4 linked regions of the Anolis sagrei genome follow. The protein of the gene in region 3 purifies or fractionates together with the protein of the main gene of each other region. This does not show direct contact. Links are inferred from orthologs where the notes say so. Each region holds a gene or a part of one and is shown on either strand. Other genes may lie near its edges. The genes, in order: USP18, CCNA1, SKP2 and FOXO3.

What was found.
Region 1: the proteins of SKP2 (region 3) and USP18 purify together in Homo sapiens (affinity purification with western blotting; 4 studies listed by BioGRID and IntAct, with this or other methods). This does not show direct contact. The link is inferred for Anolis sagrei from reciprocal best matches to the Homo sapiens genes SKP2 and USP18.
Region 2: the proteins of SKP2 (region 3) and CCNA1 purify together in Homo sapiens (affinity purification with western blotting; 4 studies listed by BioGRID). This does not show direct contact. The link is inferred for Anolis sagrei from reciprocal best matches to the Homo sapiens genes SKP2 and CCNA1.
Region 4: the proteins of SKP2 (region 3) and FOXO3 purify together in Homo sapiens (affinity purification with western blotting; 3 studies listed by BioGRID). This does not show direct contact. The link is inferred for Anolis sagrei from reciprocal best matches to the Homo sapiens genes SKP2 and FOXO3.

Annotation. Positions count from the first base shown.
Region 1 is NC_090025.1:180,571,969-180,579,823, forward strand, and holds the start of USP18 (ubl carboxyl-terminal hydrolase 18), read left to right. Parts: upstream 1-4,838; 5' UTR 4,839-5,007; intron 5,008-7,855. UniProt on the Homo sapiens protein: Interferon-induced ISG15-specific protease that plays a crucial role for maintaining a proper balance of ISG15-conjugated proteins in cells. Regulates protein ISGylation by efficiently cleaving ISG15 conjugates linked via isopeptide bonds.
Region 2 is NC_090023.1:35,422,345-35,429,241, reverse strand, and holds the start of CCNA1 (cyclin-A1), read right to left. Parts: upstream 3,022-6,897; 5' UTR 2,952-3,021; intron 1-2,951. UniProt on the Homo sapiens protein: May be involved in the control of the cell cycle at the G1/S (start) and G2/M (mitosis) transitions. May primarily function in the control of the germline meiotic cell cycle and additionally in the control of mitotic cell cycle in some somatic cells.
Region 3 is NC_090022.1:279,560,743-279,568,147, reverse strand, and holds the start of SKP2 (S-phase kinase-associated protein 2), read left to right. Parts: upstream 1-4,384; 5' UTR 4,385-4,562; coding exon 4,563-4,570; intron 4,571-5,582; coding exon 5,583-5,833; intron 5,834-7,405. UniProt on the Homo sapiens protein: Substrate recognition component of a SCF (SKP1-CUL1-F-box protein) E3 ubiquitin-protein ligase complex which mediates the ubiquitination and subsequent proteasomal degradation of target proteins involved in cell cycle progression, signal transduction and transcription.
Region 4 is NC_090021.1:94,338,716-94,346,637, reverse strand, and holds the start of FOXO3 (forkhead box protein O3), read left to right. Parts: upstream 1-4,919; 5' UTR 4,920-6,791; coding exon 6,792-7,328; intron 7,329-7,922. UniProt on the Homo sapiens protein: Transcriptional activator that recognizes and binds to the DNA sequence 5'-[AG]TAAA[TC]A-3' and regulates different processes, such as apoptosis and autophagy.

The sequences.
Region 1 (7,855 bases), on a different chromosome or scaffold from region 3:
TCAGTGCTGGTATCTTTTAGGAAAGAAACATGAAAATTGACTTATTTATTTATGTATTTACTATATTTCTACCCTGTCCTCTCCCACTCCAAAGGGGACTCAGAGCGGCTTACAAATTGGCAACAATTCTATGCCATATAAACAAACATATAAAAACAATGAATGGGTTAACAAAGAGTGGGCTTCTTATTTAAATGTTTAGAAGGAAAGTGCACCCTGTGCAGTTCTGGTACAACAAATTAGACCCTGGGTTGAAAATTCTTTAGTATTACACACAGTGGCATTTGCTATACAGGTACTTTGCATATTATTCCAGTTAGAAATATAATTTGAAGTAGTTTCTCTGTAGGTAACACAGGACATCTTTCTCATAATCAACAGTCCAAAGTCCAAACCATCTCTCTGTTCTGAAAGTCTAATAGAGTCTCTGTTTCTAGTCTGAAAGTCCAATGGAGTCTCTAAGTGTACAGTTCCTACTGAAGTCTCTAAGCATACCTGTTCCTACTGTCTCCTTAAACGCCTACTTTTCTACTGAAGTCTAAACCGAACTGTGCTAAAATGGAGTCTGAGTCCTGAACAAGCCCAGATCTGATCACATGGTCTGCAGCCCCTCCCACAACAAAAGAATTACGGAAAACTGCAAACCAACACACACACACACAATACAGTAAGCAATTATTTACATAACAAATAACTAGTGGAGGCTTGAGAAGGTTGCTATTTCCAATACAGGATCTATGGATATGGAGGGCCTACTGCACTTTTCTTTTGCACCAGGTACCATTCGATAGAACAGGCACGGGCAAACTTGGGCCCTCCAGGTGTTTTGGACTTCAGCTCCCATCATTCCTAACAGCCTATCGGCTGCTAGGAATTGTGGGAATTGAAGTCCAAAACACCTGGAGGGCCCAAGTTTGCCCGTGCCTGTAATAGACGCTTCTAGGAGAAACATTTGAACCAGAAGGCTCCGTTTTAGTGGATTTTGAGGGCACAGTAAGCTTGGTTCATAGTCAGAAATGGCAAGCTAACAGGACTGATTGCTGAAAATAAACAGAAGGAGCCTTAATGTGCCTTAAAACTATTTTGACGGTTTTATATCAAGGAGAAGAGATGCCTACTGTAGTGGCAACCACATATTAGTGGTTGGTGTCAATAAGGCACTGAATCTGCATTGGCCTTCACGTCCAAACTTTAAAGGAGATACTCAGGGTGCTGAATACTATCCTTAAATAACACTATGTAACAAAAAATGAAAACAAACGTTTCCTGGTTTGAAACGGTTATTCCCATTTAATTGTGCAGTAGTTACTTTGAAAGTAGTTATACTCCCTATATGCTATCTTAAACCAATTTAGCATATAGCATATAGGTGGTATATAACACCACATAAGATAGGGAAATTCAAAAAAAATACGAATACAAAATGCTGGAAATGCAGAAAACATGAAGGGACATATTACCACCTATGGTGGACATGCCCAAAAGCAATAACATATTGGAAAAGTATACAAAAATCATTACAAAAAAATTTAAAGATAAATATACCCCTAAAACCAGAAACATTCCTACTAGGGATCCATGATATAAAAATGGAGAAGAATAAGGACAAAATTCTATTTCTCTTAACAACTGCGGCCAGAATAATATATGCAAAGCATTGGAAGGAAAAAGAACCCCCGGGAGAAGAAGAATGGCTAACAAAGATCCTGGATATAAGAAATATGGACAAATTAACTTACATACTTTCAAAAAAAGGGGGCACTCCATCAGTAGAAACTGACTGGAAACAAGTAACAACATACTTGATAGAAGAAAAAAAATATGAAAATAATCATATGAAAAAGTGGCAAGCAAAACAAAAGGGGGAGAGCAGAAGAGAGAAGAGAGAGGAGTAGTTTGGAAGAAAGAAGGAGCGAAGGAAGAGGAAGAACCTCCAGAAGATACCGGGAAGTCAATGTCAGATATACACCTATCACACACCCTCTTTTCCCTCACAGTGACCTCCTTAATTTCTTTTTCTACACCTGGCACACCCTTTATTCTGAACAACTACCAAAAGCATCTCCCCCACTCTACCCCCCTCTATACTATCATTCCCCCTCTATCCCCATCTTTTGTCCCCACCTTCTTATACTTACCCGATTAGATACCGTATACTTTTTTTTTAACTAAAACTAATAAAGATTATTTTAAACTTCAAAAAAAAAAAAAGAAAGTAGTTATACTCCAGAAACTTCATTTTTGTGGCTGCCAAACTATGTTGCATTGCTTGAGACACAGATATTAATTGAAAAACGATAGCAAAATGTGCTGCAGGATAAGTTTTGTAAACTTTTTCCATGCTTTCAGGATACAAACAATTAGGAAATTACATTTATAACCTAGGAGCAAAAAAAGTGTTATGTAGTGTAATTTAAATGTCTTAGGTTGCATCTATACTGTAGAATTAATGCAGTTTGATTCTACTTGAACTGCCATGCCTGTATGGAATGCTATGAAATCATGGAAGTTGTAGTTTTGCAAGATCCGGTGCTTCACCAAAACACAAATCCCAGGATTCCAGAGCTTTTAGCTTGGCAGTTAAAGTGATGCTAAACTGCATTAATTCTACAGCACGGATGCATCCCAGTTCACAGTAAACGTGTTTACCTTATCCAACTGTCATCTGGCCCTGACACACATGAAGGATGACCTTCTTCTGGTTTTCCATGGTGAGAGCCTTCAGCAATCTAGGGTTGGGGCATGAGAAAAGCACACATTTCCTTCTCTTAAGTTTCATTTCTTGGCTGTGACACATCAGGAAAGAAGGGGAGACGTAAACCTAAGCCAAAAGGATGTACGTGGGGAGGGACATGAAATCTAATGCACATAGCGAAGGGAATTTCATATGTGAGGCTCCACAGATGATGTGGCAAAATTGCAGGAAGAGGGTTTTGGAGAAACAAAAAAATGCAGCAGGGAGAACTATATGCTGCCTTTATAAACCTTAGTGAGGCATTTGATACTGTAAATAGAGAGACGTTATGGAGGAAATTAACTGATATCAATATGGAGCCCAGACTGCTGGCACTGATCAAAGCACTTTACATAAATACTTGAAAGTGTGACTTGGGATGCAAGGAGCCATGACAAATAGTGTAGAACAGGGTTTCTCAACTGGGGGTTTGTGAGGAAGTGTCAGGGGTCATCAAAGACCATCAGAAAACACTGGATGTTCTGTTCATCATGGGGGTTCTGTGTGGAAAGTTTGGCCCAACTCTATCATTTGTGGGGTTCAGAATGCTCTTTGATTGTAGGTGAACTATACATCCCAGAAACTACAACTCCCAAATGTCAAGCCCTATTTTCCCTAAACTCCACCAGTGTTCACATTTGGGCATATTGAGTATTTGTGCCAAGTTTGGTCCAAATCCATCATTGTTTGAATCCACAGTGCTCTCTGGATGTAGGTGAACTACAACTCCCAAACTCAAGCTCAATGCCCACCAAACTATTCCAGTATTCTCTCTTGTTCATGGGAGTTCTGTGTGCCAAGTTTGGTTCAATTCCATCGTTGGTGGGGTTCAGAATGTGCTTTGATTGAAGGTGAACTATAAATCCTAGCAACTATAACTCTCAAATGACAAAATCAATCCCACCAGTATTCAAATATGGCCGTATTGGGTATTTGTGCCAAATTTGGTCCAGTGAATGAAAATACATCCTGCATGCCAGGTATTTACATGACAATTCATAACAATAGCAATATTACAGTTCTGAAGTAACAAAAAAAATAATGTTATGGTTGGGGGTCAACACAACACGAGGAACTATATTAAGGGGTCATGACATTAGGGAGGTTGAGAACCACTGTCCTAGAGGAAATGAAGTCTGAACTCTCCTTAGAAGTCCAGATGGCTAAAGTGAAACTGTTGTGCTTGGCCATATACTAGGAAAGTAATAGTCACTAGAAAAGAAAGTAATGCTTGGAAAGGTAGAGGGCAGTAGGAAAATAGTGCTCTTTGATTGTAGGTGAACTATAAATTCCAGAAACTACAACTCCCAAATGTCAAAGTCTATTTTCGCCAAACTCTATAAGTGTTCACATTTGGGCATATTGAGTATTTGTGCCAAATTTGGTCCAGATCCATTGTTGTTTGAGTCCACAATGCTCTTTGGATGTAGGTGAACTATAATTCCAAAACTCAAGCTCAATGCCTACCAAACCCTTCTAGTATTTTCTGTTGGTCACAGGAGTTCAGTGTGCCAAGTTTGGTTCAATTCCATCGTTGGTGGAGTTCAGAATGCTCTTTGATTGTAGGTGAACTATAAATCCCAGCAACTACAACTCCCAAATGTCAAAGTCTATTTTCCCCAAACTCCATCAGTGTTCACATTTGGGCATATTGAGTATTCATGCCATGGAAGTTCTGTGTGCCAAGTTTGGTCCAATTCCGTCATTGATGGAGTTCAGAATGCTCTTTGATTGTAGGTGAACTATAAATCCCAGCAACTACAACTCCCAAATGTCAAAGTCTATTTTCTCCAAACTCCATCAGTGTTCACATTTGGGCATATTGAGTATTCATAACAATAGTAACATTACAGTTCTGAAGTAGCAACAAAAATAATGTTATGGTTGGGGGTTACCACAACATGAGGAACTGTATTAAGGGGTCGCAGCATTAGGAAGACTGAGAAACACTGGTGTAGAGGCACCTAAGAGAGCAGAGTCCTTGGGCTGCATAGGTAGGAAAGGAAGGTGGAGGAGAACGAGGAGGCGGAGGCGCTTTGGAAACGAAGCTGGTTAAGTTTCACTTTCTAAAGCGAGCCGCCCTTCAGCGGGAAATCAAAACTCATGGCCGTCTGCTCGGTGCTGCCCTCTAGAAGTGACGCACAGCTGTCAAAAAGGGAGCCGACCGCGCCAGGATCGGAAGTTTCCCTGTCGCTAGTGTGGACGCACAGTCGAGCGGAGTGGAGACCAAGCAGCCGGGAAAGGTTGAGCCCTCCTCCTCCTCCTCCATCACCGTAAGTTACCTTCCAAGCCATCCTTCTCCAACCTGGCCTTTTGGGGTTGATCTACAGTACTGTAGAGTTATTGCACTCAGGCAAGACTTAGTTCCATGCTCTGGGATCCTCGGAATTGAAGTTTGGTGGGGCACCAGGACTCTTTAATTGTAGGTGAACTATAAATCCCAGCAAGTATGTCAAAGTCTATTTTCTCCAAACTCCATCAGCAGGGAAGGCTAAAGACCAGGTAAGACTACAACTCCCAGGATTCCATAACATTGAGCCATGGACCTCACAATGCCTGCCATAGATGCGGACGAAACATCAGGAGAGAATGCTTCTGGAACATGGCCATACAGCCCAAACTTATTTACACACTTATTTACTTATTTAGGTGAGTCCTCATAGTCAAAGGATGATGGTCCTCCAAGTCGGTGGCTGTGGAGCCTTATTCTTGACCCACATTAGGTGATCCCTCATAGCCCAAGGATGATGGTCCTCCAAGTCGGTGGGTCTGTAGGTGGCTGTGGAGCCCTATTCTTGACCCACATGTTCTCCCGCAGTGAGAACATCGGTTTCCAGGTTGAAAGTGGTCCCGGTTAAGGTTGGCTTGACGCACCTTCCTCTTGGCACGTTTCTCCCTTTTGCCCTCCATTTGTGCCTCTTTGAATTCTGCAGCACTGCTGGTCACAGCTGACCTCCAGTTAGAGTACTCAAGGGCCAGGGCTTCCCAGTTCTCAGTGTCTATGCCAGAGTTGATTAGGGTTGGCTTGACACGCCTTCCTCTTGGCACGTTTCTCCCTTTTGCCCTCCATTTGTGCCTCTTTGAATTCTGCAGCACTGCTGGTCACAGCTGACCTCCAGTTAGAGTACTCAAGGGCCAGGGCTTCCCAGTTCTCAGTGTCTATGCCAGAGTTGATTAGGGTTGGCTTGACACGCCTTCCTCTTGGCACGTTTCTCCCTTTTGCCCTCCATTCGTGCCTCTTCGAATTCTGCAGCACTGCTGGTCACAGCTGACCTCCAGTTAGAGCACTCAAGGGCCAGGACTTCCCAGTTCTTGCTGTCTGTGCCACAGTTTTTAAGGCTGGCTTTCAGCCCATCTTTAAATCTCTTTTCCTGTCCACCAACATTACATTTTCCGTTCTTGAGTTGGGAATATAGTAACTGCTTTGAGAGATGGTGATTGGGCATTTGGACAACATGGCCACTCCAGCAGAGTTGATGGTGTAGGAGCATCGCTTCAATGCTGGTGGTCTTTGCTTCTTCCAGCACACTGATACTTGTCCTCCTGTCTTTCCAAGAGTTTTGCAGGATTTTCCGGAGGCAGTGTTGATAGAATCGTTCTAGGAGTTGAGTGTGACATCTGTAGACAGTTCACGTCTCACAGGCGTATAGCAGGGTTGGGAGGACAATAGCTTTGTAAACCAGCAGCTTAGTCTCCCTACGGATGTCCCAGTTCTCAAACACTCTGCTTCATTCGGAAAAATGCTGCACTCGCAGAGCTCTGGCGGTGTTTTATTTCAGTGTCAATGTTGGCTTTTGTGGAGAGGTGGCTGCCAAGGACCTCACAACCTCTAAGGATGCCTGCCATAGATGCAGGCGAAATGTCAGGAGAGAATGTTTCTGGAACATGGCCATACAGACCAGAAAACTCACAACAACTCAGTGATTCCAGCTATGAAAGCCTTCGAAAATACATTGAGCCATGGATAGTTGAAGTGCTCTCAAACTGCATTCATCCTGCAGTGTAGATGTACCCTTTGAATCCCTTTTTTTCTGGGTTGGGCATCATTGGATCCACATTGTGTTTATATTTTTTGCAACATTGGTCCTTCAAATGCATCCTCACTTCTAAATGCATTGCCTTTAAATTCCCGGAGAGATGATGCAACTGACTCCCATGTTATATATGTGGATATGGGTGTATCTGCAGTTTGACATCAGTTTAACTGCCATGCCACAGAATCCTGGGAGTTGTTGTTTTTCAAGGTTTTTAGTCTTCTCTGCCAAAGAAGTTAGATGCCTCACCAAAGTACAATTCCCAGGATTTGATAGCATTGAGGCATGGCAGTCAAAGTGGCATCAAACTGTGTTAATTCTACAGTGTAGATCAGGCATGGGCAAACTTGAGCCCTCTAGGTGTTTGGGACTCCAAATCCCACCATTCCTAACAGCCTCAGGCCCCTTCCTTTCCCCCCTCAGCTGCTTAAGCTGCCATGTTCCAGCAGCATTCTCTCCTGACGTTTTGCCTACATCTATGGCAGGCATCCTCAGAGGTTGTGAGGTCTGTTGGAAACTAGGAAAATGGGGTTTATATATCTGTGGATATAGTTTCCTACTTTCCAACATACCTCACAACCTTTGAGGATGCCTGCCAAAGATGCAGGCATAATGTCAGGAGAGAATGCTTCTGGAACATGGCCATACAGCTCAGAAAATTCACAACAACACAGTGATTCCGGCTATGAAAGCCTTTAACAACACTTAGTTTTAATCTTGGGAGCATGAGACCTTTGGTTTAATGGCTTTCTTTCCATTGCTTCAAATGTAATTTATCCAAGCATTTTATGTACAGTTTAAATGTCTATTTTCCAGGTAACTATATATGTTATATTTTGGCAAAATGTCAGATGCTTTCCTGGTACTTTGCAATTACTAAATGAATCCATAAAGTAATAGCCCAAACAAGCAAGTCAGCTGATTCCCTTATCAAAATGGTAACAAATGTAAACAAGGAAGAATAAAGGGAAACAATATAATAACAAACATTGCAATAAAATATTGCGATGTTGAAATCTGCTTGGAATATTGACCAGGAAATCCTCTTTGTATCTATGCCAATTGGTCTATAATATAATCAGTTATA
Region 2 (6,897 bases), on a different chromosome or scaffold from region 3:
TTTATTAAAAAAACCTGCAAAGTGCATTCTGCTTTTGAATGCTTGCCTTTGGTATTGAAGAAATTTTATTAATGGCATCATCCCCCAACTTAGAGTCTTGCAGATAGATTGACCTAAAATAACCATTCTTTTTCACACCTAGGGATGGTGGGATTTGTTGTGCTTCACATCCATAAGACTGCAGGTTGGAGAAAAGGTTAATCAGACCTTTCTTCTAGTTGCTGCTGCTGGCCCCTTATACACTGACTGGTCAATGACGTTCGAAGGAAGCTTCAGGCTGTGGCAGCTAGACAACAAACTTCCACAAAAAGTGCAAGAAAGACAGCCCTAAATGTGCTTCAGTGCTCGGTGATTTGTGTAATCACCATCTGGGCCTCAAACTGGTTCCAGAATGGAACGCCAAAGGCCATGTGCCTTTGAACCCCTCCCAATTTATGGCAACCCCATCACAAGGGTTGTTTTTTTTTAAAAAAGCTTTGTTCAGAAGGGGCCTACCATTGCATTCTTCTGAGGTTGAGAGCATGTGACCTTCCCAAGGTCAACCATTGGGTTTCCAAGACAGTGTAGCAATTCAAACCTTGGCCTCACAGAGTCCTAGTCCAATACTTAAACTATCACTCCATTCTGGCTCTTTCATCAGTACTAGTTAAAATATATACAAATACATTAAACATTTTGTTGAGAGGCATCCTGTTTCAGTGAGAATCATAAGCATGTTATCCTAGGTGGTAAGTGGCTTCCCAAAGCTATTTCACAGCAATTAAACCTCCCAGATTCCTCAGATGGCCTTTCATGCCAAGAAAAGGATGAATTGCTTCTTGGGGTTTACAGGTTGCAAGACTGCCTTATTCAACATCCAAAGCTACTTGTTTTTCAAAACCTGGAGTAAACATTCAGCTATTTCTTACAATACTCAATTTTCAAGCAATCCCTGTGGCCCTCACGAGCAAAATACTGGGTATAGTTTGACCACAGATTCATTCAGACATACTGATAGCCATGTCAAAGGCTATCAGTAAACATATCAGGAAATTAAATAATGCCAAAACTTAAAACCGGAGCATTATATGAACTTACCTGCAGCTTCCCCCAAACTGCAAACTGGTGTCACTGACCCATCACCTGCTTCCTTCCCTCCCTTCTCAAACCAAATCCATCTGTTTGGAACCAATGGGATTAGAGTGATTTAAGGGGAATGGAGCTGAAGATCCTAAGGTTTAAGGACCTCAGGTGGAACCAGGTTTCACTGCATTTACTTCCAAATGACTACATCAAAAGATGAGGAGATATTTAAGTGTTCCCAGGAGTATGTCCTGCAGAATCCAACAGGTCATGTTTCCAAACAGTTTGCAACTCTGTTGCTTTATTTCCAGAGGTATTCCTGTTGTATTCAAATCATAAAAACATGTTTCACTTGGAAAGAATCAGAGGGGGGGAAATAGGTGCATTTACACTCCCATCCTTCCTCTAATACTCTCAATACAGCATACACGTTTATTTCTCCACCTTGCAACCTCAAAAGGTAGTTCAGGCAAAAGTCGGTCCAATTTCCCCCAGTGACTTCCATGGCTTTGTAGACACTATACACTAGGCCTGAGCAAACTTGGGCCTTCCAGGTGTTTTGGACTTAAGCTTAAGCGGCTAAAGGGGGAAAGGAAGGGGCCCGAGGCTGTTGTTATTGTAGGAGTTGAAGTCCAGAACACCTGGAAGCAGGCCCATAGCCAGGATTTCAATTCGGGAGGGGGGCTGAGTTTGTTTCGGGGGTGCGGGGAGCGAGTCTGAGTGAAAGAGGGTCTAGCCTAGCAAACCTTTTGTATCGTTTTCTAATAACCCCATGCATATGGGATATATTGAGTATGGTGATCAGATCATGATATGAATAAACATAACAGTTTAAATAATGCACCAGTAAGGCCTTTTTGCGAACCACCATGAGAATTTCGGGGGGGGGGGGGGCTGAAGCCTGGAAGCCCCATGTTTTCCCAGGTCTGCGATACACTGAGTAATGCAGTTTGGCACTTGAACTGCCATAGCTCAATGCTATAAAATCATGGGAGTTTGTCGTTCAGCAGTTTGCCTTCTTTAACAATGAGAGCCTCACCAAACTACAAACCACCAGGAATCCACAGCATTGAGCCTTGCAGTTTTCATTCACACTGTACAATTAATGCAGTTTGGCAGCATGCTCCCTGCTATGGAATCTTGGGATCTGCAGTTTGGTGAAGGACCAGCACTCAATATTGGGCAGAGAAGGTTCAAAACCTTGTAAAACTATAAGCTTCCTTTCTCCTTCCTTTCTTCCTTTTTGTCCTTCCTTCCTTCTTTCTTTCCTTCCTCCTTACCTTCCTCCCTTCTCTCTCTCTCCTTCCATCCTTTCCTTCCACCCTTTTGTCCTTCCTTCCTTCCCTCTCTCCCTCTTTCTCATTCCTTCCCTATTGTCTTCCCTTCTCTTTTTCCTTCCTCTTCCCTTCCCTTCCACCCTTTCATCTTTCCTTCCTTCCCCCTTTCCTCCCTCTCTTCTTCTTTCTCCTTCCATCCTTACCTCTCTCCCTTTCTCCTTCCTTCCTTACCTTTTGTCTTTCCTCCCTTCTTCCATCTCTCCCTCTTTCTTCCATCCTTCCCTTCCTCCCTTTCGTTCTTCCTTCCTTCTCTCTTTCCTTCCTTCCTTCCATCACCAGGCAGTCATTCCTCCTAGCAGGGAGGCCCCCAAGTTAGAAAGTTTGCCCTTGCCTGCTCTACAGGGCTAAAAAACCATAAAAGAAAAGTTTGCTCCTCCTCTTCTGCCTGGCGTTTCCCCAAAGAGCAAGTGCCCACTGGTGGGGGTCTGAGGTTGGAAGGGCTTCCCATGCTCCCCAGCAGAAGCCCCCCCCCCCCCCGCTTCCTTTCTGCCCCGCATTTCCCTGCCAAAGGAGGGAGACCCATTTCTATGACGCAGCCGCCCAGTCCCCGACCTGTTGCGTCCTTTCCAGCTGGCAGCGGAGGTTTCCCTCCTGGCCTCTCCTGTCCCAACCCAAAGCAGGCCAAGGCTCCGAAACAAAGCCGGGACTGCGAATGGCCCGTGGGGACGCCCTCCTCGCAGCCTATATAGAGGACCGGACGCCGCCTCTTCCTCCGCCGCTACTTGGAAGCCGCCCGCGACTGTCTGTTGGGGATGGCTGTTGGTTGGAGCCTCTCGCTCCTTCCTCGGCATGCGGCAGGGAAGCCCAGGGAGAGCCAGCCTAGGCCCCTTCCCGCAAGAGAAACCACCACCACAACAACGCGTGGCTCAGTCTCGTCGCGTGTCCCGAGGTCCTTTTCTCCCCGGGCACAGCCACAGACCTTGTGAAGCAACAACTCCCAGGAACCCATAGCCTTGAGCCATTGCAGTTCAAAATGAGTTGATCTTACAGGGTAGATCAATGCACCCAAGGAGGTCCTTGGCCTCCATGGGTGCATCTATATCAGGCATGGGCAAACTTGGGCCCTCCAGGTGTGTTTTGGACTTCAACTCCCACAATTCCTGGCCTCAGGCCCTTTCTGTTCCCCCCTCAACCGCTTAAGCAAGGGCAAACTTAGGCCCTCCAGGTGTGTGTTGAACTTCAACTCCCAAAATTCCTGGCCTCAGATCCTTTCTGTTCCCTCCTCAGCCGCTTAATCATAGGCAAACTTGGGCCCTCCAGGTGTGTTTTGGACTTCAACTCCAAAACACACCTGGAGGGCCCAAGTTTGCCCATGCCTGATCTATATACTGTAGAAGTAATCCAGTTTTGACACCACTGGGAACTGCCCTGGCTCAATGCTTATTTGAAACACAAGATTTGTACACAGCCAACAAAATCACTATGCTGGCTGTTGTATTGATCACACTTCCCAAGTCTCTACAACTGTGTGGTGTATCAGCCAATAATGCGTGTAGATCTGAGCCTTTTGCAGCTGACAGGTGGTAATTTTGTCAGTGCCAATTGTGTTTAAGTGCAGAACAAGGTCTTTAGGAACTGCACCCATGTGCCAATCACCACTGGGCCCACCTTGACTGGCTTGTGCCAGTAAAGTAAAGTGTTATTATTATTACTATATTTATACCCCATGGGATCCTTTGATTTGCAGTTTATTGAGGCACAAGCACTCTGGCAAAGAAGGCCTTGTCAAACTACAAATCCCAGGATTCTGTAGCCTTGAGAAGGCAACCCCAGGTCGTGACAAGCTTAGTTCACTGTGCAATATACATCACAAATGTCAAACTCAAGGCCTGCAGGTGGAATCCGGCCCGTCATGTCATTTCATGTGTCCCCCTGGATGCTGGACTACAACTCCTGTATTCCTCATCATTAGGTATCATGAGTAGAGCTGATGAGAATTGGGATACAGTGGCATCTAGAAGGCTGCAGTTTGTTCTCTTTAGTCAGGAGAGTGGGCTCTGAATTTAGATATGTGAATATGGTAGAATCACTGAGTTGGAAGAGACCTCGTGGGCCATCCAGTCCAACCCCCTGCCAAGAAGCAGGAAATCACAGTCAAAGAACACATTTCAAATAGAAATAAAGTGGACATGCACAAAAATAAACATACTTTTTCATCTTACTGTATGTTTTGTTCCATTTTGAGAAATATTTTTATTTTATTTATGGTTTGCCATTGTTAATATTTTGAGTTAGATATATACCCACATGCCTGCAACACCTTTATTAGGACTGAGGACAGTTTCACAACAGGGTGCAACCTTTTGTATTCTCCAGAACGCTTTATCTAGGATGGCAGTGGTTTGACTTATTTATTTATGAACTGTTTAAATTGACTGTTTTTAAATTAACTTCAAGTAAGCCTGGTGATGCATTCTGGAGAACTGGAAATGCCGTTCACTGTTGTGGAAGCGTCGTTAATCCTAATAAAGGTATTGCCTCCTTATAAACTGACCTGGTAGAATTAATTTGCTCATTTATATACATTTGGCATGTAGGCTATGCAAGGAAATAAAATGGTATTAAAAATCCCCAGGAGGCATTTTTCAAAGTGTGACTCAGTTCTAGGTTTTAATCCGAGAGCAGTAAAGTTTTGCCATTGTTTTCCTGTTAGTTTCAACAGAAATTAATTATGCTTTGCTTTCCGTTGGTCTCCCTCTATGTGTTTGAGAGGATACTTAAGACTCCCTGCTTGAGATTTTCAGGGCTGTTCTTTTAATGAATGTTTTATTCAAGCCTCTTGTGTTTGGAGAGGTGGTTTAAGCAGCAAGAACAACAGCTGGAGCTCCCACAGTGAGCAGGGCTAATCTATAGGTGCAGCTGGAAGCTTGAGCTCTTTGTGGTTGTTATATGTTGTCAAGCTGACTTTGATTTATGGTGAATCTATGAATGCGAGACCTCCAAGAGCCCCACTCATCAAATGTCCTGCTCAAGTCTCCTAAACTCAGGGCAGTGGCTTCTTTGGGGGCATCTACACTGTAGAATTAACACAGCTATACACCAATTGAACTGCCATGGCTCAGTTTAGTTTTATAATGCCTTTCACCAAATTACAGTTCCCAAGGCTTCACAGTACTGAATCAGGGCAGTTAAAGTTGTGTCAAACGACATTAATTCTACAGTACAGACACTCTGGAATGTGTCCAGAAGAGGGCGACGAAAATGATCAAGGGTCTGGAGAACAAGCCCTATGAGGAGCTGCTTAAAGAGCTAGGCATTCAATTGACAGATCAGTCCTGATTTGTACTAGCCCTCTGTCTGTCTGTCTCTCTCTCTCTCTCTATTTTATCTAGTTCCTTCATATTTGCTCTTCCAAGTTTTATCCTTCTTCTGGTTTCTCGACTATCTAAATTTTGATCAATGAGTGAGTCAAATTATGGAAAATCTTTCACTATTTGAGGTCTTCAATATACCCACTTCAAAGTTATGTAAAGCATCTGTGGTCATTATTTTGGTTTTTAATTTTTTTTAGCTTTAACTCTGCTTTTGAACTGCCTTCCTTAACTGCCATCAATACTCGTTCAAAGTCTTTGCTATATTCTGCAATGGGATCAACTCCATATCTTACATTTCTGGTCTTCCTTCCCTCACTTTTGATGCCACCTTCTTCTGAGTCTAATCCTGCTTTGCATGTGATCTGCTTTGACCCCATTGCCAGTGTTTCTCTATATTGTGTCATTCTAGTGGCAGTTTTGTCAGGATATAATTCTGACAAATATAATACATCAAGTCAAGCAAACTGACATTTTTATTTCTTTTAGAGCAAACCCTATGGGTGGCCTTGGATAAATTATATCTTGCAGAATCAAAGGCTTTGTTGCAATCAAAGGATTACATGCTTTATTGGCATATATATATATATATATATATATATATATATATATGGTTATGTTGATTGTTTTTAATTGCTCTTTTGTGAATGTATGGCATGGAATTGTGCTAGCCTGTAACCTGCCTTGAGTTGCCATATCGCTCAGAAAGGCAGGCTTTAAATATAGCAAATAAATAAAGGCATAGGTGATTTCCCCCCTAAAATGTAGAGGTGATTCCATTATTCAACATATGTTTGCAAAAAATAACTCTTAGTAGTTTGCCTTTTTGTTAAAAAGCAGTTTAGACATTGGTTTTTCTTGCTTCATATGTAGCAAAAGTCTTTTCTTGTAAGATTTTAAGCATCCCTTTGCATGTATAGGAGACCAGGGCAGCAGCAGCAGCAATCACTCACATCTGAGTAGGATGGTGGCCTTCCAAGCCTTGGGTCCGTAGGTGGCTGTGGAGACCTTTTCTTGACCCACATGTTATTCCACAGTGAGGACACCAGTTTCCAGATGGAAGGCGGTCCTGGTCAGGGTTGGCATGATGCACCTTCCTGTTGACGTGTTTCTTCCTTTCGCCCTCCATTTGGCCTCAGCACTGTTGGTAACAGCTGACTTCCAGTTAGAGTGTTCAAGAGCCAGGG
Region 3 (7,405 bases):
CCTCCCCAGAAGCTCTTAGGGTCTTGGATGGTTCATAAGGAGAGATAAATTCGGACAGGTAAGCTGGGCCAGATATACAGCTGTGTGGAAGGGCCCTGAGTCCACATTGACATATATTCCAGTTCAAAGCAGATAATGTGGGCTTTTATTCAGCTGTGTGGAAGGGGCTTCAGATATTCCAGTTCAAAACAGATATTGTGGGTTATTCTGCCTTGATATTCTGGGTTATATGGCTGTGTGGAAAGGCCCTGGGATGTAATTTACCAAAACATGGCCACGTTAGTCTGTAATATCAATATACAAACAGATCTGGTAGCATTTTCGAGACAGTGAGGGCATCTACACATACTACTGAGTGCTACAGCCTCAGTCAGGGAATCCTAGGTGTTGACGTTTGCTGAGGCATCGGCCTCTTCGGCAGAGAAGGCCTTGCCCGACTACCACCCCCTGCATGTAAACAACAAGGCCTTGGCGGTACTTACTCAGCCCCGTTGGGCGCAGGCCTCGCCCATCTCCCTCTCCCTCTGCCGCTCTCCTCAGCGAAGCCACTCACTCACTCACTCACTGCGCTTCCTGCTCTTCAGGCCGAAGCCGGCTCGCCTCTTCCTCCTGCGCCGCCGCCCAACCAACGCCACGGCCGCCTCTGACGCAACCTCCTCCTCGCCCAATCGCCGGCCGGGATTTGAAAAAGGTCCCCGCCCCATACGGGAAACCCCGCCCACTCACGCAAGGGGGCATGGGAATTGGAGTCTTTCTGCTTGTAGGAATCTGTTTAACAGGCCTGGGCCAAGTGGGGCCCTCCAGGTGTTTTGGACTTCAACTCCCACAATCCCTAGGAGATAGATAGATAGATAGATAGATAGATAGATAGATAGATAGATAGATAGATAGATAGATAGATAGATAGATAGGTAGGTAGGTAGGTAGGTAGGTAGAAAGGTAGATAGATAGATAGATAGATAGATAGATAGATAGATAGATAGATAGATAGATATTCGATTTGTTGGATTTAAGTTGCATTTTTGGAAATACAAAATTAATTTAAAAAATAAGAAAAACACCATCTACAAAACATCTTCCTATGAGAGCTGTTCATGAGTGGAACTCTCTGTCCTGGAATGTGGTAGAGGCTCCTTCTTTGGAAGCTTTTAAACAGAGGCTGGATGACCATCTGTCGAGTGTGCTTTGAATCTATCTATATCTATATCTGTCTCTCTATATATCTATTTATATTTACCTATCTATCCATTTCCATCTTTCTCTATTTATATCCATCTATTGATCTATATCCATATCCATATATCTCTATCCATATTTATATCTCTATATATCTATTTATGTCCATCTATCTGTCTAACGGCGCTCCATGCAGTCATGCCGGCCACATGACCTTGGAGGTGTCTATGGACAACACTGGCTCTTTGACTTAGAAATGGAGATGAGCACCACACCCCAGAGTCACACATGACTGGACTTAATGTCAGGGGACAACCTTTACCTCTTACCTATCTATCTATATCCATATCCATATCTCTCTATATCCATATCCATATCTATATCTATCTATCTATCTATCTATCTATCTATATCTATATCTAGCTATCTATCTATCTATCTATCTATATATATATATCCATCTATCTATTTCTCTATATCCATATCTCAAACTACAAGAAAGGAGATTCCATCTGAACATTAGGAAGAACTTCCTGACTATGAGAGCTGTTCATGAGTGGAACTCTCTGCCCTGGAATGTGGTAGAGGTTCCTTCTTTGGAAGCTTTTAAACAGAGGCTGGATGACCATCTGTCGAGTGTGCTTTGAATGCAGTTTTCCTGCTTCTTGGCAGGGGGTTGGACAGGATGGCCCATGAGGTCTTTTCCAACTCTAGGATTCTATATCCATATCTGTATCTATATATCTATTTATATCCATCTATATATCTAGCTACATCCATATCTCTCTATATCCATATCTATATCTATCTATATAGATATATCTATATCCATCTCTCTCTATCTATTGATATCTATCTATCTATCTCTCTATCTATATCCATATCTCTCTATATATATCTTTCTATCTATCTTTTTATCTATCTAGAATCATAGAATCATTGAGTTGGAAGAGACCTCGTGGGCCATCCAGTCCAACCTCTGTTTAAAAGCCTCCAAAGAAGGAGCCTCCACCGCACTGCAGGACAGAGAGTTCCACTGTCATATCTTTCCATTTATATCCATATCTATCTCTATATATCTATTTATATCCATCTATCTCTCCATATCTCTCTATATCCATATCTTTATCTATTTATATCCATCTATCTCTCTAGCTATAGCCATCTCTCTCTATATCCATATACACATTTATCTGTATTTATTTCTATTTATATCTATCTATCTATATCGATATCTATCTATCTATATCCACATATCTATATATCTATTGATATCTAGTTAGCTAGCTAACTATATCCACATCTCTCTATTTCCATATCTCTCTCTATATATCTCTATCTATCTATCTCCATATCTCTCTATTTATATCCATATCTATCTCTATATATCTATTTATATCTCCATCTATCTATCTATATCCATATCTATCTCTATTATCTATTTATATCTATCTATCTATATTAATATCTCTCTATATATCTATTGATATCTATCTCGCTATCTAGCTATATCCATATCTCTCTATTTACATATCTCTCTATATATATCTATTTATATCTATCTATCTATCTATCTATCTCCATATCTCTCTATTTATATCCATATCTATCTCTATATATTTATATCTACATCCATCTATCTATATATATCCATATTCATCTCTCTCTCTATATCTATCTATCTATCTATCTATCTACATATCTCTCTCTATATCTATTGATAGCTATGTATATCCATATCCATATTCATCTCTATATCTATTTCTATCTATCTATCTATCTATCTACCTATCTATATCCATATCTCTCTATTTCCATATCTACCTCTCTATATCTTTTTTATCTATCTATTTCTATATTTATCTATCTCCATATCTCTCTATTTATATCCATATCTATCTCTATATATCTATTTATATTTATCCATATCCATATTAATTTATTTATTTCAGTTACTTTTACCCCGCCCTTCTCACCCCCGAGGGGGGACTCAGGGCGGCTTACAAAGGAAGGCACAATTCGATGCCTATATCAAATATACATACATACATAACAGCACTTAAACAGTTAACAATTAAAATCATCAGTACATAACAATACACTAAAGGTAAAGGTAAAGGTAGTCCCCTGACATTAAGTCCAGTCATGTCTGACTCTGGGGTGTGGTGCTCATCTCCATTTCTAAGCCGAAGAGCCAGCATTGTCCGTAGACACCTCCAAGGTCATGTGGCCGGCATGACTGCATGGAGCGCCGTTACCTTCCCGCCGGAGCGGTACCTATTGATCTACTCACATTTTGCATGTTTTCGAACTGCTAGGTTGGCAGAAGCTAGGGCTGACAGCGGTAGCTCACGCCGCTCCCCGGAATCGAACCTGCGACCTTTCAATCAACAAGTTCAGCAGCTCAGTGCTTTAACGCCACCGGGGGCTCTAACAATACACTAACACAATAGTAAACTAATCCTATGCTCAGCGCTCAGAGTTCCGTAAATCCATTCCGTTTCGTCAATTCCTGCTCATCATCAAGGTCTTTCTTTAGCTGCCAGAATGTCCAAATGCCCGGTCCCACATCCAGGTCTTTAATTTTTTTCGAAGGGAATTCGCCGATCCAATCTCCCCGGGAAGTGAGTTCCACAGGTGAGGGGCCACCACCGAGAAGGCCCTGCTCCTCACACCCGCCAACCTCACTTGTGATAGAGGTGGGGTCGAGAGCAGGGCCTCCCCAAAGGATCTTAGACTCCGAAGTGGGACGTAGAGGGAGATCCGTTCGGACAAATACACTGGGCTGGAACCGTACAGGGTTTTGTAGGTCAAAGCCAGCACTTTGAATTGTGCTCGGAATTGGATCGGCAGCCAGTGGAGCTGACACAACAGGGGGGGGGGGGGGATATATTAATCTCTCTATACATCTGTTTATATCTATCTAGCTATCTATCTCCATATTCATTTCTCTCTATATCAATATCTATCTATATACATATCTATCTATATCCATATCTATCTGACTATATATCAATTTATATCTCTCTCTTTATCTATATCTATATCCATATTTTTCTATCTTATATCCATATCTATCTCTCTATATATCCATTTGTTGGATATAAGTTGCATTTTTGGGAAACTGAATCCCAAATTAGTTTAAAAATGAACATTTAAAAAAGTAACTTCTCCGCTGCAAAGCACTACCATTCCCAGGAGCCATTGCGAGATCCGGGAGAACGTTGGCCCGGGAAGGCGAAGCGCGCGAGCCTTTTTCTGCTGTGCGGGTTTTCCGGGGCTGCTGCTGCTGCTGAGAAGATTTGCTGGGTTTGGCGTTGCAAGAGAGGGAAAAAAGGGATCGGGGGGTCCTGGTTCTCCATGCAAAAGCCCCATTTGCAAGCACCATGCACAGGTAAAAGCGGATGGGTGCAAAGTGGTTACATTAGGGTGGAGAGCAGGGGGAATCGCAGTGGATCCCGCCCAAAACAAGGGATGGGATCACGCGCCTCTTTCCTCCCCCTTGGCTTCAGGATTTTAGCCATCATCCGGTGCAGTAGTATTTGATGGACATGTTCTTGCATTAAGTTATTTATGAATTGCAAACTTATTTTTTGTTTGGACTAGCGTGTTTGTAATTCCCAAATGTCTTAAGGTGCATATATATTGTAGATCAGGTAGGGGCAAATTTGGGTATTCCAGGTGTTTTGGACTTCAACTCCCACAATTCCTAACAGCCGGCAGCTGTTAGGAATTGTGGGAGTTGAAGTCCAAAACACCTGGAGTATCCAAATTTGCCCCTACCTGATCTATACTGTAAAAGAAATGCACTTATTATTATTATTTATTTATTTACAGCATTCATATTCCGCTCTTCTCACCCTACAAGGGACTCAGGAAGGATTACAATGCACATAAACATTCAGTGCCATAGACACACAACATATATAGACAGAGACACAGAGGCTGTTTAACACTCCAGCTTCATGAGGGTATGCATTTTGAATTCCAGCCACCGGGGGGAACTGTCACTTCACCATCCACTTGTGAGACCGATGGAGTACTTCCTCATTCTTTTGCACGCTGCTGGAGAGTTTTATGGCGTTGTAATTTATTTACCATATTTGTATACTACCCTTCTCAGCCTGAGGGGAAATATGCATCTTGGGACCCTTCTAGGCAGGCCCTATATCCCATGATCTCATCCAAGTTGTTCTGCTTTAAACTGGATTATATGAGTCCACACTGCCAGATAATCTGGGATAAACAGAAAACTTTGGATCAGATTCTGGGATATAGGGCCTGTCTGGAAGGGCCATTAGAATTGAGGAAATAGAGTATATCTGTAGCTCTCTCCTTCTGTTGTTCTTCACTTTCTTACGATATAAATGCCAGCTATATACCACCGTGTTTCCCTTCCTTTGTAGGAGACTTCTCCAGGAAATTCCAGATTCGGGCAGCAATGTCAACACGGACTTCATATGGGGATGGCATTCCAACAAGACGTCAGAGCTGCTGTCCGTCATGGGAGTCTCTGTCCTTAAGGATAAACTGGGCAACGAGAACACCCCCCAAGAGCTGCTGATGTGTGTGAGTCCACCCCAAAAACGGCAGAAAGTGAAGGAGGCAGAATTTGTGATTGTCCGCCGACCCAGGCGGCTCCTGGAGGTGGCGGCAGGTGAGATCGAGAATCGCAAAAAGACATTCAGGATTCCTAATTACTAATGGTAACAAATAAAGTGATTGAGCTTATTTGCTTTAAACGGTAATAGTAATTGTTTAATAGTCGTCATATAATAGCCATCACAATTTAATTATCTAGATCAGTGGTTCTCAACCTGTGGGTCCCCAAGTGTTTTGGCCAATAACTCCCAGAAATCCCAGCCAGTTTACCAGCTGTTAGGATTTTGGGAGTTGAAGCCCAAAACATCTTGGGACCCACAGGTTGAGAACCACTGATCTAGATCCTTTGCTGCAGCATTGCAAGGGATCTCTCCAGCTTCCTCTTCTTGACACGTCCCATAACTGGAAGAGTCCTGCAGATACTATTTCCCAATACAGGCAGCAAGATAGGTTCTGTATGTTCTTATGTAAGTCCAAACAGATACATTTTTAAGTATAACTCCAGTCTATCTATCTATCTATCTATCTTTGGATAGTATAGGGAAAGGTTAACATCCCTGTGGTGTTTGTCTTGCTGTCTGAGCCCCTGTTCAGAAGATTTCACCTAACTTTCTATCTCTGTAATAATCGGATTTTGATAAATTGGGCTTGTTGTGGAAGCAAGGATTGTTCATAAAGCCTCAGTGGAGATACCTTTTCCCCATGATTACTCTTCCAGGAGTAAATTTCTTCATCTAGGGGAAGATTTCTCTCCCTTCCTTTTGTCTCACCCCCGTTCTTCACTATGAGTTGTTTATAAGTCAGATGTTTATAACTCAGGGATTGCCTGAACCCTTGGAAGCCTTTTGGTTGGGACACTGCCGGACTGGAAAGATGGGTGCATCATCAGGCACAACTCCAATGACAGAGGTCCTATCATGTTAATTATTTCAATTTATGAAAGATATTAAGCTGGTATTGCACCACCTGACATCCGCCGGGAAGTAGCAGCCAATAGTGAAAGGACCAAGGCAGAGACATCTCCAGCTCATCCCCTGTTTGGGTATCAGCCAGCACATCAACGACTTAAATCTAGAAATAGTTTTCTAAGATCTACAGAGACACTTGCTGGAACACCTCAGCAAGCGAGAGTCCAAAAGTGGCAGGCTCAAACCCAGAACCTCAATCAATGGCTGATACCAAATGAGAAACTCCCCCCTGGGCACACAGACGACTGGGCGACTTGGAAGGCGCTGAACAGACTGCGCTCTGGCACCACGAGATGCAGAGCCAACCTTAAGAAATGGGGCCACAAAGTGGAATCCACGACATGCGAGTGTGGAGAAGAGCAAACCACTGACCACCTGCTGCAATGCAATCTGAGCCCTGCCACATGCACAATGGAGGACCTTCTTGCAGAAACACCAGAAGCACTCCAAGTGGCCAGATACTGGTCAAAGGACATTTAATCTACTTCCAAACTCGCAAATTTTGTATTTTGTCTGTTTGTTTGTTTGTTTTGTTCTGTTAGAAATGTAATACAATTGACTGGTTGCCCTGACACGACAAATAAATAAATAAGCAGTGTTAGAAAGTTAGGGCAGGGAACAATTTTTCTAGTTTTGTTGTTGTTGTTGTTGCTGTTGTT
Region 4 (7,922 bases), on a different chromosome or scaffold from region 3:
TACTGTAATTTTGCTACTGTTATGAATTGTCATATAAATTTCTGATAAGCAGGATGTATTTTCAATCATACCTGATATGCCCAAATTTTAATACTGGTGGGGTTGGAGAGGGGGTTGATTTTGTCATTTCGGAATTGTAGTTGCTGGGATTTATAGTTCACCTACAATCAAAGAGCATTCTGAATTCCACCAACGATGGAATTGAACCAACCTTGGCACACAGAACCAAAAGAAAATACTGGAAGGGTTTGGTGGGCATTGACCTTGAGTTTTGAAATTGTAGTTCACCTACATCCAGAGAGCACTGTGGACTCAAACAGATAGATCTGGACCAAACTTGGCACACAGACCCAACATGGCCAACTGTGAATACTGCTGGGATTTGGGGAGGATTGACCTGCGATTTTGGGATTTGTAATTTACCCACATTATTATGCATTTTCTAATGGGAGCATTAATAAAAACAAAAGGAAAGATTGACTTTCCCCCCTAATAAATAGCCTTACAAATTACCTAAGCCTCTTCTGCTGCTGCTCCTCCTGATGCTGCTGGGCCACTCTCAGTCCCATGTTGCACAGGTGCTTTCCATGTCTTGAAGGGACTCGCTGGCGTGAACCTCCCTCCAACCTCGTGTGCTCTCTTGCCTGAGCATGCGCACCACACTGCCATGTGCCGAGCATGCCTGCTCTTCCCTCCCTGCTTCTAGTCTCAGAAACAACCCTCTCCTTGGCTGAGAGGCCAGCCAATCACAGCAGAAGGAGGGCTTTTGATGGGAGGATTTCCCATCTGTTTCCAAAAAGGAAGAGAAGGACAGGCGGTGAGATCTTCAGCCTTTTCTGCCAAAGAAGTTCCTAAGACCATCAGAAATATGTGTTTTCTGATGGTCCCACCCAACTCCCAAGTAGAGAAACGCTGGACTAAAGAGTCCACGGCCAGGCCAGTTGGCTTTTGTCTCTGCATATGGCATCTTGTACTTTGCCTCAGGAAGCAAAATATATTGGGCGGTCCTGCTTTAAATATTCTTATGACAAAACACCAATTTTCACTTAAAAGTGAAGTCAGTCTGGGCATTAGCTGAAAATTCTCCCCTGGTAGTCAGTTAAGGGCATGATGTATCTTAATGGAATGCTGGATAAAATGAACTCTTTATCTGTTTGAACTTCATGTTGACTTTTTCACAGTCACTGTTTAAACAAAGTATAATTTACACAGAGAACTTAAAATGAAACCCTACCTTTGTGTGTGTGTGTAAATAAAAACTGTGTTAAATTAAATTACACTGCACCAGCTATAAAAATTTGCAACTCTATTGTTTTTAGTTTAAGCATTTGGCTTGTTTTTGAAATGTTCAGAAATCATCGTCAGAAGAAAATGCTCATGCCACAATAATCCCACAAAGAACAGTGAAATTATAAATAAGCCATACAGAAAATGTACAGTCTAGTTCTACACATATAAGGAAGTCCTACTATATTCATTTGAGGGCATTTCTTTGTCTTTTTTGTATATAGAAGTGTAGCATTTAAAAACAATATTATTTACTCATTATTACCTGCATTTAGAAAACCTAAGGTTATATGTATGCAGCAGCCACGATATTGGAACCACTTTTTAAAGATTGCTGAGGTTTTGCTATCTAGAATAAACAATGACGAAAGTTTCTTTGTCAAACATACAGTTTTGAAAGTGGGCCAAAACACACAAATAATGTTGCAACTTTACAGTATTATTTAGTTAAAGTTCCCAAGAAAGAAAGGTCAAGCCCCATATTTTAATGGATTATAGTCACTGAACAATCACAGTAAAGATTATTGTCAGTATAAGATCCTTCTATATCCCATCTGGTTCACTGGTATATCTGATCAAGATGAACTGGGACATATTTTCAATAGCTAAGAGGCAAGTTATGCATTTTGAGGCCTAAATACCCTAAAGACACCAGATCCTGCCTGATCTTGGAAGCTAAGCAGGATCATTGCTGGTTAGTTCCTAGGTGAAAGATTACCAACAAATGGCAGGTGCTAGAGACTATATTTAGAGGAAGGAACAGGCAAAACATATTTGAGTATTATTCCTTTCCTCAGAAAATCATATTAAATTCATGTGGTTGCTGTAACTCAGCACACACACACGTTATGTATCCATGTATATATTCTTGTTTATGCCTGTTCCAGTAGTCAGTAATCTTTAGATTTTGGACTTCAACATGAATTTGTTAACCAGGAAGATTGAAGTAGACTTTCCTTCAAACTCTTTTTTCAAGAATGAGTGGGTACCCCCAAAAACTGTACTCACCTCATATGTGTGACTATCCTGATACAAGATGTTACATCAGGCACAGCCAAATGATGGCCCTCCAGGTGTTTTGGACTTCAACTCCCACAATTCCTAACAGCTGGTACCGGCTGTTAGGAATTGTGGGAGTTGAAGTCCAAAACACCTGGAGGGCCATCGTTTGCCCATGCCTGTGTTAGATGTTTGTGATTACTTGCATGCCACATTCTGGCTGAAGATACAAATTAGTTCTGAAGTTTTTTCATGTGGCTGTCTCCTCTAGGTCTATGCGGCTCTGGAAAATACAGGATGAACAATGTGTTTTCTTCTTCTCAGGTGTAGACAGGCCCATAGTTGAAATCTTATTACAGGACTTTCTCTGCAGGGAGAGGCGAGCATCTGAGGAAGCAGGCTTAGGATCTTTCTCCCAGGCTCTAAGGTGCCACAAGATCCTTTCACTTATTGCATGGCAGGGGGTTGGACTAGATGGACCATGTGGTCTCTTACAACTCTATTATTCTATGATTCTGTGACTAATATTCCAAATGAATATGGTTCTAGGCAAGTCCAAACTTGTTCACCCACTCAACTAAATGTAAGGCCAGAATAATTGCCCAGGCTGTTGCAGTGATAATAGAAACATCCAACTACACTATTACTTTTTGGTTTTGTTTTTAAAAATGTTGTTTTCCTAACCCATGCACATTTTGTAACAAAACAACAGAGCTGAAAACATTGGTCCAATGTTCTAGTATGTGAAAAAGTAGTCAGCGTGTACCTTAGCTTCTGTGCATTTAAAACAGAATTGTGATTTGTGGGTAATAGATTTGTGGGTGATAGAGAAGAGCAAAAGAAGCTAAAACTCTACTACTTCTTTCCACCTGATGCCAAGGAAGCTGTCCTAACCCTAAACCACTGCCTGTCATCAGTAATGGACTGGACGAGGGCAAACAAATTGAAACTTAATCCAGACAAGATAGAGGTACTCCAGGTCAGTCAGATCAGGGAATAGGGATTCAGCCAATGCTGGATGGGGTTACACTCCCCTGAAGACAGGTCCACAGTTTGTGGGTCCTCCTGGACTTGATATTGAATGTGGAGGCCCAGGTATTGGCAGTGTTCAGGAGGGCCTTTGCACAATTAAAACTTGTGTGCCAACAGTACCCATTCCTTGAGAAGCCCAATCTGGCCACAGTGGTACATGCTTTAGTTACACCCTGTCTGGATTATTATAATGTGCTCTACACAGGGATGCCTCCCTCTATGACCCAACTCGGAGGTTAAAATCACTGGGGGAGATCCTGCTCTCAGTCCCACCCTCCTCACAAGTGCGACTGGTGGTGATGAGATAAATTGCCTTCTCAGTGGTGGCTCCATGGCTGTGGAACTCTCTCCCCAGTGAAATTAGATCTGCTCCATCTCACCTGACCATCACGAAAAAAACCCCCTGAAAACTTGGTTCTGGGATCAGGCTTTCAACCAGTAACAGGAGTAGTGCAATATGAGACTACAAATTAATATAATGATCACTTGGACCGGACCTGGAATACGATTTGGATCATGTGATTTTAATTGATGTTTTAATGCTATGTTTTTAATGGGTTTGGTTTTAAAGTTTTTGTTTATTTACCACTGTATTCATATATGGCATTGAACTGTTGCCTTTGTAAGGCCGCCCTTCGGGGTTGAGAAAGGTGGGATATAAATGTGATAAATAAAAATAAGTAAGAGTGCTCAGAAACTTTGGCTGGTCCAGGTTACTCACTGGGGCTGACTACAGGGAGCAGACAACCTTCTTGTTGCAGCAGCTTCAATGACTGCCAGCCTGTTTCCGGGCACAATTGAAAGTGCTGGTTATGACCTTCAAAGCCCTAATGGTTCAGGTCTAGGCTATTTGACTAATTGAATCCCCTTATACAAACCTGCCCAGGCCCTGGGATCGTCAGGAGACGCCCTTCTCTCAGTCCCACTTCCAATCTCAAGCTTGGTTGGTGGGAGCAAGAGCTGTGGCCCAGTCTGTGTTCTGTGTGTGTATATTTGTGTATATGTGTATATATGTGGTTTAGCACATACATTGTAATGTATTTTTTTATTTTTTTGGCTTTTAAAGTCTCTTCTGCTGTGTTTTTCCGTGTTTTAATGAGTGATTGTCTCTTGTTGACCTGACAGGTGTATTGTGTCCAAATTTGGTGTCAATTCGCCCAGTGGTTTTTGAGTTCTGTTAATCCCACAAATGAACATTACATTTTTACTTATATAGATTGTCGTACATGTTCATGGCCGGAATCACTGGGTTGCTGTAAGTCTTTCGGACTGTATGGCCATGTTCCAGAAGCATTCTCTCCTCACCTCACAACCTCTGAGGATGCCTGCCATAGATGAGGAGAAACGTCAGGAGAGAATGCTTCTGGAACATGCCCATGGAGCCCGAAAGACTTACAGCAACCCAAAATATTCGTTTAGGGGTGCCTTTGTTTACTGCACACTTCGCCTGCATTGTTTCAGACCTTGATCCGATTTCAGGAGGGACGCCACGAGCGCGACTCCTGGTAGCCCCGCCTCTCTCTAGCCCCGCCTCCTTCCCCCGCCTCCCGGCGCTGGCCCCTCCCAGGCGGCAGGCAAGAGGCGGTCGAGTGGGCGTGGCTTGGCGAGAGCCAGCGGGTTAGGTTGAGCCTGGCTGCGTGTGCCTATAACTTTGTGTTGCCGCTCCTGGTTGTTAGGAGAAGGAATGCGGGCGCCAGCAGAGCGGAGCGCGAGCCGGGAAGGAGGAGGAGGCTGCTGCTGCTGCTCGCGCGGGCTGCAGCAGGCACGAGACCCGCTTCCGCTGCTGCTGCTGGTGCTGTTCCTTCAGCAGGCGCATCTCTGGAGGAATCGGGATCGGGCTGCTTCTAGGACGGCTTCCCCTTTGGAAGCCTGAAGCGGAGCCAGCTGCAGAGAAAACAGGAGCTCCGGCACCCCCTTCCCTTCCTGGGATTTCTCTCCAGCTTGGACCGAGCCACGCTTGTTTCCTTGCTTCTTTTCTCCTGGAGTGCGAAAGGGAAGGGAAGAAGGAAAGGGAAGAAGGGGAGCTCTGTCAAGATGGCAGCAGCAGCAGCAGCGAGGAGAAGAAGGAGGAGGTTATGAATGCGGTGCCGCCGTGGGTGCAGCAGGGAGAAAACCTTGCAAAGGAGGAAGAGAAAGAGGAGGAGGAGGAGGACTTCGGGGCTTCCTCTCTCTTTCCGGACCTGTTGGGGGAAAAGACCCGCTGCTGCTTGGGACCCTCGGCCGCTTTCCCTCTCTTCTCTCCCCGAAAGAGGATTGGAGGGCAAGGAGAACCACTGAGCTCCCTCTCTGGCGTATTTTTTGTCCGTTCCTCCGTTCCTCCCCCCTCCCTCTTCTGGAGTATTGGCATTTCTTCCGATTTTTCAGGGCGGAGGAAGGAGGAGCGAGGTTGGGACCCTCGTCCGCTTTCCTTCCCTTTCTCTCTCTCTCCCCGAAAGAGGATTTGAGGGCAAAGAGAACAGCGTATTTTTTTTTGTTAGTTCCTTTCTTTTCCCTCCTTTTTTCCCCTCTCCCTTTTTTTTAGTATTGGCATTTCCCCCCATTTTTTCAGGGCGGAGGAAGGAGCTGCTGCTGCTGCAGGGCGCGATGGTGTGCCTTTGAACCAGCTTTTGGAGAAGGAGGAGGAGAAAGAGAAGAAGACCCTTCTTGCCTTTTTCTGCCCCTAGTCTGTGATGTGGGCAATGGGGCCGGGGTCCCTCGGCTGCCATTGGAGGAATCCGGCGCCACGGAGTGAAAGATAAACAAACACACGGTTTGCTGCCTTTGCGCGTGAGAGAGAGAGAGATCCCGCTTGCAAGTCCGTCCCAGTCTCGCTTTTGGAGGAGGAGGAGGAGGAGGAGGAAGGACTCCCCTGGCGGAGGGGCTGCTGCTTTCTTTCTTTCGTCCCCAACCAGGAGAGGGGGGAAAGGGACCGCACTCGAGAGGGAAGGGGCTTCTTTTTCTCCCTTCGCTTTTCCAACTGCCCGTCCCATTGCTTTTGAGGGAGGAGGACTGGGCTGAGGAGCATCCTTCTTTCTTCTCAAGGAAGGAAAAAAGGAGAGCGGAGGGCTGCTTTTTCCTTCCTCGCCTCCTCTGTGGAGATTTCGATTTTCCAGTTGTTTTTTTTCCCATTGAAAAAAGGGGCGACTGAAGTGGTATTTAGTCGTTTTTCTCCTCCCTTTCTTAACGTGGGGCCTCGGATTGTGGGATAGAAGCCTTTTTCATCCTTCAAGCAGTGAAAAGACATCTTTTTCCCTCACTTGGGACCTTTGACTGTGGGATCGAGGTTTTTTTCTTCCTTCCACCACCACCTTTCTCGGGTGTTTCTTTCCATTGCTATTCAAGCCGGAGGAGCTTGAATGGAGAGTGGCGCGTTCTTCGCCCGGCCTCGGTGATCCTTCTCTTGCTGTCTCTCTCTGAGAGTCCAGCGCGGGCTCTTTCTTTCCTTCCTTCCTTTCTCTCTCTCTCTCTCTTCGGGCCGCTCCCCCTGGGCAAGGATGGCCGAGGCGTCTCCGGCGTCGCCGCTGGACGTGGAGCTGGACCCGGACTTCGAGCCCCAGAGCCGCCCGCGGTCCTGCACGTGGCCCCTGCAGAGGCCCGAGCTGCAGGGCCAGCCCGGGGCGGGAGGCGGTGCGGGAGGGGGCGACGCCATGATCCCCGAGGAGAAGGACGACGACGAGGAGGAGGACGAGGAGCCCGCGGGGCCCGCGGCGGGGAGCGAGGACTCTCCCACGGCGGCCACTCTCCCGCAGGGCGCCTTTCCCCCGGGCCCCAGTAAGCAGCCCCAGCAGCAGCAGCCCTCCTCTCCTCAGGCAGCAGCGCCGCCCCTGCCGCCCCCTCCGCCCCAGGCCCCGCGGAAGTGCTCCTCCCGGAGGAACGCGTGGGGCAACCTGTCCTACGCGGACCTCATCACCCGCGCCATCGAGAGCGCGCCCGAGAAGCGCCTCACCCTCGCCCAGATCTACGAGTGGATGGTGCGCTGCGTGCCCTACTTCAAGGACAAGGGAGACAGCAACAGCTCCGCCGGGTGGAAGGTGAGCGCGCCCGCGAGGGAGGGGGTAGGGGAGGGAGCAAAGGTCCCGCGCGCCCAGGCACTCCCTCGCTCGCGCCACACACTCACACAATGGACCTCTGGGCGCGAGGGCGGCAGGTAGCCAGGCAGGCAATTGGGCGCGTGACGAGCCCCCTTCTTCTTCTTCTTCTGCCCGGGGGGGGGGGGGGAGATTGTTTCCCACTCCGAACCCTCCAATCAGCGCTCCAGGAAAGAGCGGGAAAAACAGCCACGCGTTTAAAGATCCCCCCCCGCTCCCCCCGTCTCTCGTGCTCTTGAGTATGAGGCTATTATCTATAGATGTATATATATAGAAAAGAATATGAGGGAAAGAGAGATGTATACAGAGCAAGCATTGGCCAACTTGGGCCCTCCCTCCAGATGTTTTGGACTTCAACTTCCACCATTCCTAACAGCTTCGGGCCCCATCTCCCCCATCAGAGGAATGGTGAGAGTTAGAGTCCAAAACACCTGGAGGGAGGGCCCAAGTTTGTCCATGCCTGATATAGAGGGAGTGGCTGTGAGGGATACATCTCTGTCTATAGAAAGAGAGGGAGTCAATGAGGGGATATATTAT